2 linked regions of the Caenorhabditis elegans genome follow. The protein of the gene in region 1 interacts with the protein of each later gene in a pairwise test. Each region holds a gene or a part of one and is shown on either strand. Other genes may lie near its edges.

Region 1 (3,929 bases):
TGCTACCACCAAGGAACTCGAGGAGGAGAGAGATGATGCTCTAAAGGCTTGCGATGATGCCAACATCTAAATTTTCCCCATAAATTATAACGATTTCCCAACCGCTCCCTTAAACTTAAAATGTAAAAAAAGAAGTAGGCCGTCTTGTCGTTTTTGTAAATGTATTATGTATTCAGTTATTGAACAATGAATTTATTGCATCTTCGGATCGAATTGTTTCAATCTATCTTTCGAAATAACTTGTGACTCGTTTCTGATTTCGTATATCTGTTTATTTCTGGAAGCTAGCAATCAATCTGCCAACGTGGAGGATATGGGTTTGCAAGAATAAAGAAGAAGACAAATCATCTGTACAGAAAGCAGGTTCTAGGCGAGAGAATCGCGAGAAGTAGCGAAATGAGGGTACGAGGAAGAGGCGGTGTGTTGACCATTCATTCCAGCAATCCTTATTCCTTCCGTGTTGGATAACGACCTGTCCCCAGGCGTTTCTATGGCTTTTTCCTCCCATTTTGATCGTTGAAACAGAGATGTTTGCTTTTTTAGAATTAAATTTATGCAACTTTTTAGACTGTGCACTTAAATAGAAGATCTAGAAATAATTAAACGAATTTTAAATGCATAGTCGCAGTAGTAATAGTAAATTGACTAAAGAAAATCATTTTTTAATTTTTAAACAATTTTTAATGAAAGTTTATCTCTGAATCTTTTGAATATCCCTTGTGTAAATTTGTACTTGACCAATTGTTCCAAATTTGTAAATATCAGTTTTTGCAGAAGCAACTACTTTTCGTTGAAAAAATTCACTTTTAAAATAGTGAGACTAGGTGAAAATGTTGTGAATTTTGGCATTTATAGCTACCACGATCGTGGCGAGACCCACTCAGATTAACAGCGTGTGCCTTTAAGTGACTTTTGACTTTTTCCCTAAATTACGATATTAAAAAACTTCCCATGCTTTTTTTTTCATTTTTTAAAATCAAAATTTGCCACAATAGTAGGATTGGAATTTATTCCATGTTTGAGGCTTCTCTAAAAACAAATTTCTAAATAATTTAGAGTTTTGTTTTAATCTTTTCTTTCTCCTATTTCACTTCTTAAATCTCATTTTCTTATCTTGGCAAAGTAACCTAATAGTCAAATCGATTGGCTTGTTGATCTTCACCATAATTTGACCCAAATCAGCTCGCCGCGTCGGTTTTTTTTAATTGACCGATTAGTCGCTATCACAGACGCTATTCATTAATAAACGTCAGCAGGAAGACCTAGTAATCTAGTTATCCACTTCACAACTCGATCAATAATTGCGGATCGGCGTGTTTCAACGAATACGGGAAGACAAGAGAGAGATAAGTTGTTTTTAGTGTGTGTGTATGGGTGAGTGTACGACAGTACCTACATACTGGAGGGGGAATATCCTTGACCCTTTGAGCGCGGACGATGCGACTTCCACCTTCTTTTTAATACATGCTCTGGATACAAGATATCTACCCATTTTTGTTTCTTTTTCTTTGTAGAAATTAATTATTGATCTGTAACTGTGAGGGCAGCAAAAATATTATAAGCCGATTATTTTTTCGCAATTCCAAAATGGACAATATGACTTGCATAATTTGATTACTGAAAAAAAGTGGGCCTTTATAATTTCGACATGAGCATTAACGCTCATATTTTCTGTTAGACAAACAATCTGTGGGTATTTGGTATTTGCAAATAAATATATTTGCATTGGCATTACAGAATCATACTATTTCCCCGCTATTCTGCAAGTTGTGTACAGGCTCAGTTGGTCTACTCTTGATGTTTTGATAGTTGTCTCTTTTTGGTTTTTTTCCTGTAGAAGATGGCTAGTAATACGTGGCTTAAGAACAAGATGAAACCGGTAGCCTTCTTTTTTCTCTTTTCGAACTGCAAAACGAACTGCGGCGACGGCGATAATGTGTGTGCGTGTCTGCCGACCGTACACCCCGCCGCCGAGATATATCCCTTCACTCCGACCGACGTCTTCCTCTTGTGTCTTCTCTTCACACCATAGGCGCTGCTTTTCGTTTTCAATCTTCCGCTTTCTATGTTTCTCTACATTCCTTCAATTCTTCATCATCCTTCCTGGTCACTCTATGACATCTATAAAACAAGTCAATTCCAGAATGCTGCTCCGATTGCTCGCCGTGCTCGGACTTTTCGCCGTTGGAGTCTCGGGGGGACCTACCAGATCTTCCAAGCTCGTCTTTCTCAATGAGGAAAACTGGACAGATCTTATGAAGGGAGAGTGGATGATTGAATTGTAAGTTGTTTCATTGAAAGCTCCAATTTGGAACAATGTATATAGTTTGTACTTGGTAGAATTAACTACTAAGGTTCTCAAGCATACACTTTAAAAACATTTTAATTAGTTACAAAACTACAAAATTGATAACTGATAAATTTTTAAAAATCCGCCGAGATGAAAATCTCAATTAAATTCCATCTTACTAGTACCTATGATATGAAAAGATATAGAGTAGAATCTTTTCATAATTTGAATTCACTGTTGGTTATTAGAATCTTTCTAAATAGCTATAGAAGAGTTAGGTCTAGATCATTTGAAAAAAATAACTTTTAAAATTCCAGCCATGCTCCATGGTGCCCAGCTTGCAAGGATCTTCAAAAAGCATGGAACGCATTCGCCGACTGGTCTGATGATCTTGGAATCAAGGTTGGAGAAGTCGATGTTACCGTCAATCCAGGACTTTCCGGTAGATTCCTTGTCACAGCTCTCCCAACAATTTATCAGTGAGTTTTTGAAAGCTATTTATTTCTACAAAAATCGAACGTTTTTTTTTTCAGCGTCAAGGATGGTGTCTTCCGTCAATATTCTGGAGCTCGTGACAAGAATGACTTCATTTCATTCGTCGAGGATAAGAAATACCGTGTGATCGACCCAGTTCCAGACTACAAGCATCCAAACTCTAAGCAGTACGCTTTTTTGTGGCACAGCAAAAATAATATTATAATTTTTTTCAGAATGGCCGTCGTTGCCGTCTTCTTCAAACTTTCGATGTCGGTTCGTGACTTGCACAACCATCTCGTCGAAGATAAGGGAATCCCATCATGGGCCAGCTACGGACTCTTCGCCGGAGTTACTCTTGCTCTCGGATGTGTTCTTGGATTCGTGAGTTTTTTAAATAGAAATTTCTGTAAACATCGTGATTTCCAGTTCATCGTTATCATCATCGACCAAGTATTCCCTACTGGACCAAGAAAAAGCCAACAAGCCAAGAAAACCGAGAAGAAAGACGCAAAGAAAGGTACTTTAAAATATTCGGATTCTGATTTCTAAAAATTTATTTATTTTCAGATTCTGGAACTGAATCTCCGACAAAGAAAAATGGAAATAACAATAATGGCAAAGAAACGAAGAAGACCAAGTAAATTCTATGCAACTTCCAAAAACCCCAATTGTTTTACCTTTTGTGCATCTTGTTATTTTATTTCAAATTATAATTTAAAAACTTCAAAATGTTTCATATTTATCCCAAACCAGCAGTCTCTGCCCCAAGTTTTTGAATTTTAAAAAATTTGTTAATTATAAGTATTGCCGTCCCCCAAGATATATATAAGTCACTTCTTCCTATGGGTTCCCGTCTTTTTTGTCTCTTTTGTTTTCACCAATGCTTCTCTCCTTCTGCGCATTTCATTTCGGACTCTGCAACGACGACACGTAATTAAAGCGACATCTCTTGCTGCGAGAGCCAGTCGGTGCTGGTCGAGTGTGTGTTCGCTTTGGCGTCGTCACGCCTTCTTTCCCTGCTGCTTTTCGCTCCTCATTCAATGCATTGATCCGTTTGTCCGTTTTTTTGTCCTCTGCTTTCTCTCAAATATTTCACTTTTTACGAAAAAAGTTGTTAATAAATCATAATTCAATTAAAACCTTTTTTGATAATTCAGAAATA
Region 2 (3,929 bases), 6.3 Mb from region 1:
CGATAAAGTTGTATTTATTGGCGTATGGTTCTAAATTATCAACCTGTGCAAATCGAGCCGCAAATTCGCAATGATTTAGAAGTACTTGCTTCGGATCCATTGGTTGATTATGAAGAATATCAGAAAGACGTTTCGAATTCTTTCTGTAATCAGAATTATTGAGAATCATCTGGATCGTCTCCATTAGTTTCTTGCTATCGACAAGATCAAATTTGTCATAGACAATGGCACCACCATGGCGAGCTAACATCTCTGCATTTACTCCTTGATCACTGAATACAGGAACCTGAAAATATACGTTTGATACAAGAAGGTTAGCGGGTGGTAAAACATTTTTATATTCTAATCATGAATCTGGATGAAAAAATATTTCAAAAGTTTACAGGAAAATAGTGAAACCAGAAGTGAATTATCTCACTTACCATAATACTTGACACTCCTGCATATCCAACTTCCATAGTACTTCCCAAACCTCCATGAGTCACAAACAAATCTAATCGACTGTCTGCTAACAGAGCTGGCTGAGGAATCCACTTGCTTAAAACTACGTTTTCAGAAAGTTTATTCTTCAACGTCTTATCATCCTCTTCATATTTCCAGATAAATGTAGCATCTGGCATTCTGCGAAATGCTTCAATAAGTCCAGTTTTGAAATCATCTGGCATATCTGATGATTGAATAACTGTTCCAAAAGACACTAGAATGGTGTTGTTTCTGAGCGAAAGTATTTTGTTAAATTCTTCATCGAGTGTAGTTGTTTTGAATGATTCAATAGTGAAACCTCCAATTTGAATCACTTTTGAAATTGTTGGTGTTGAAAATGATAAGTAAGGATTGGAGTTTGTCAAGAAAAACGTGGAGCTTTGAAGTATTTCTTGCCAAGTTCGGACATTTCCACCAGTTAATCGGTAAGCTTGATCATATTGTTTATCAAACAAAATCCCGAATTGAAAGTGATAACCGGTTAGTCCAAGCATGTCACTTAATCGGTCAATTGCGCTCGATTTCTTCCCATAATTAGACCCCTCTGTTGGTAAGTAATTCAATGGAATAGGTTCACCCACAGCGTATGAAGCTGCTCCACATCGAACTCCACTATAGAGAGGGATTGGTGATTTTAGTTTCAAGAAGTCTCCAAGATCTAACATTGATTATTCACTTTGATTGTAAATTAAATTATTACTTACATAAACCACAAAAATCAAATGCCTCTGATATGTGGGAGTCAAAGTTTTTCGATAGAATCCAACGATGAAGTTCCTTGTCCAAAAGCATTTCTAAAAATTGATGAATGCATTTTTGAAACAAAACTATGAATCTTACTTCTACAAATATGCTCAAACTCTTTGTAAAGTTTTTCTGATGTAATTTTTGCAGAAGAGATTGGGTTTTTAGATCCTTTTGCTTTCCAGAAAAACTTGAAAACACTCGCTTCAGAAGCTGCAGCTTTTTCTTCTTCATCGACTTCATAATTAATCACTTCAATGTTCGGATTCTTCACAATTTTTTTGTGTGCATAGTAATCATAAATTATTGGTTGGAATAAAGTCTAAAATCGAACTTATAAGAAATTTAATATTTAAATAAGTAAACCTTACCACATTATGTCCAGCATCAGCAAGGATGTCTGCAATTCTTCCCATAAATTTCATATGACTGTACCCAAAAACTGGGGAAATAATAAGATAATTGAACCCGAAAGCAACGGGAAAAAATGCTAATAATAATAAGTACCTCATTTTGAGTTCGAGAATTAGACTTCAACATATTCTCTTAATTTTTTTCAGGCATTTTATACCACTCAGACTAAGTTCAGTTGCAAACTTTTCAAATGATCAGCGCCCGATTTGAAACCGTCTCTTGCATTTTAACATTATCTCTCTTTACTTGGAGTGTCTATTTCTATGTTCTCTGTTCTCGATGAAAAATTACAAGAAACAAAAGACGTAAGAAAAATAAAGAAATGGAATGTGTAGTCAGCATTAGAGTATGTATTCATGTAAGTAGTTCATCTCGAAAGTGTCCAAAAATGTTTGTCAATTTAGAGATTTGCCTGAAATTTGCTTTGATAATTTTTATAAGTTTATTATGAAAATCTAGTTTTACTCTGGTAAATCTATGCCTCCAATAGACTTCAAAAACATTGGCTTCACGTATCCAAAACTATCAATTATTGTTCCTGTCTGATGTCTAATACATGGAATTTTTCAAATTTTTTGTTATTCTGTGAATTTGTTGATCAATTGTGACAGTATGAAGTATGACAGTTCTACCTATGTTATTGGGTTTCTACAATTCTTGGAATTATTGTAACCGCGACAACGAAAGTTATTTGTTTATATATTAGGTTGAACCGGAAGTCTTTGTGACTTTTTCAATCGTTTATTTCTCGGAGCAAGAGAAACGACAGAATAATATTTATTTGCTATTATTATCAGCAATGTACTGCCAACGTGTGGGCAACTTATGAAGGCCCTGCTCACAGAACCCTTCCAGGCGCGAGTCGAAATAATGCTTGAGTGCCAATTCGACACTTCCATGGGTATTGAAGGTTCTTTCCCGGAGATCACGAGTCATATCTGAAAACTGTCAGTATGCAGATGGGGCATGGTCTGAAGAATACGGTGGGTGAAGGAAAATCATCCATTCATACCTGACCAGTTCCTGCAATACTTGTTTCGTGACGTAGGGATAAGCGTTGTTTTGTTGAAAGTAGAGTTGCTCGTCCTTCAGGGGTGAACGATTGAATATGTTCCTTAGGTTTTGTGGTTAGATAACTTAAAGGTCCCCATTAACTATTTTGCCCCCAGGAAGCAGTTCCCAGTTGATGGGGCCGTACACTCCCCACCACACTGAGAGCATGACGTTTTTGGGGTTAAGGTCGGGTTTGGCGGCACCCTGTGGGGTTTCTCCTTCTACAAACCACTGGGCACGCGTGTGGTTCTTATCATGGAGGACCCACTTCTCGGTTCCAGTGATGAGTCGGCCCAAACATCGATCGGCCCCATGGAGAGTGAGGGGTGAAATGGAATCATCCACTCAAAAATCATGGTTGGCTTGTGTCGAAGAGTGAGGTATGAATCGACCCATAATTTTCTTCATTCCAAGAGCTTCCCAGCCCCGTACGATGATGGTTTGATAGGATTGAAGTGCGGTTGACAGCTCACGGGAGGTTTGGAAAGGATCCGTTGCCATGGCTTTCTGCAACGTGTCCAAATCCAATTTATGGGGTCTCAGAGTCTTCGAGAGAAAAGTCGTCCTTTTCGAAGTGATGGAACCAAATGTATATAGTATTATAGTGGCGGACATGTCGATGATAAACATCCTTCAGGAGACTTTCCGAATCCTTCATCGTGGTATGAGAGAGAAAAAGGTGCATCGAACCATGTCGGATGTGGATGGCACTAGATAAATACATTGTCGGCTAACTGAACTCAGACCAAAGGGAAAGGAGTGGGGTGATTTTCAAAATGAAGTTCCTTTACTCGTTGTTATACCCTAGCAACAAGGGAACACCAAAGTGCAACTGCGGCTAGCGTTGGAAAAGCAAACCCAGTCACAAAGATTTCCGGTTCAACCTAATATTTTGCAGAAATTTATTTTGTAAGTTTATTCTGGTTCCTGAGAGTTAATACTGATAACTAATTTCAGTAAAACATGGAAGAAGATAGAATATCAACTAATTTTTATTGCGAGTTAGGCGTTTGCAGAACATATGTTGAAATTTTCTTTGTTTAGGTGCTATTTATTTTATAAGTACTATAATTACGTTAATATTATCAGAAATTGTTTCGAAGTTTCATTCTTTGTCGGTGTTTTTTCTAACACGTTCCTAGAAATGAGATCTTGGATTGCCGCAATTATTTCAATAGAAAGAATGATGGCCACAAAAAAGTGATTCGATTACTTTTTATCATTACCGATAAAGG

The links.
Region 2: the proteins of dpy-11 (region 1) and ugt-3 interact in a two-hybrid assay, tested with the Caenorhabditis elegans proteins (one large-scale study listed by BioGRID).

Annotation. Positions count from the first base shown.
Region 1 is NC_003283.11:6,511,561-6,515,489, reverse strand, and holds dpy-11 (Thioredoxin-related transmembrane protein 1), read left to right. Parts: upstream 1-2,143; 5' UTR 2,144-2,144; coding exon 2,145-2,281; intron 2,282-2,607; coding exon 2,608-2,769; intron 2,770-2,823; coding exon 2,824-2,952; intron 2,953-3,000; coding exon 3,001-3,148; intron 3,149-3,193; coding exon 3,194-3,284; intron 3,285-3,334; coding exon 3,335-3,408; 3' UTR 3,409-3,905; downstream 3,906-3,929. Other genes in the region: mdh-1 (Malate dehydrogenase, cytoplasmic), read left to right, coding at 1-70.
Region 2 is NC_003283.11:12,798,455-12,802,383, forward strand, and holds the start of ugt-3 (glucuronosyltransferase), read right to left. Parts: upstream 1,818-3,929; 5' UTR 1,740-1,817; coding exon 1,599-1,739; intron 1,550-1,598; coding exon 1,324-1,549; intron 1,278-1,323; coding exon 1,188-1,277; intron 1,142-1,187; coding exon 423-1,141; intron 287-422; coding exon 1-286.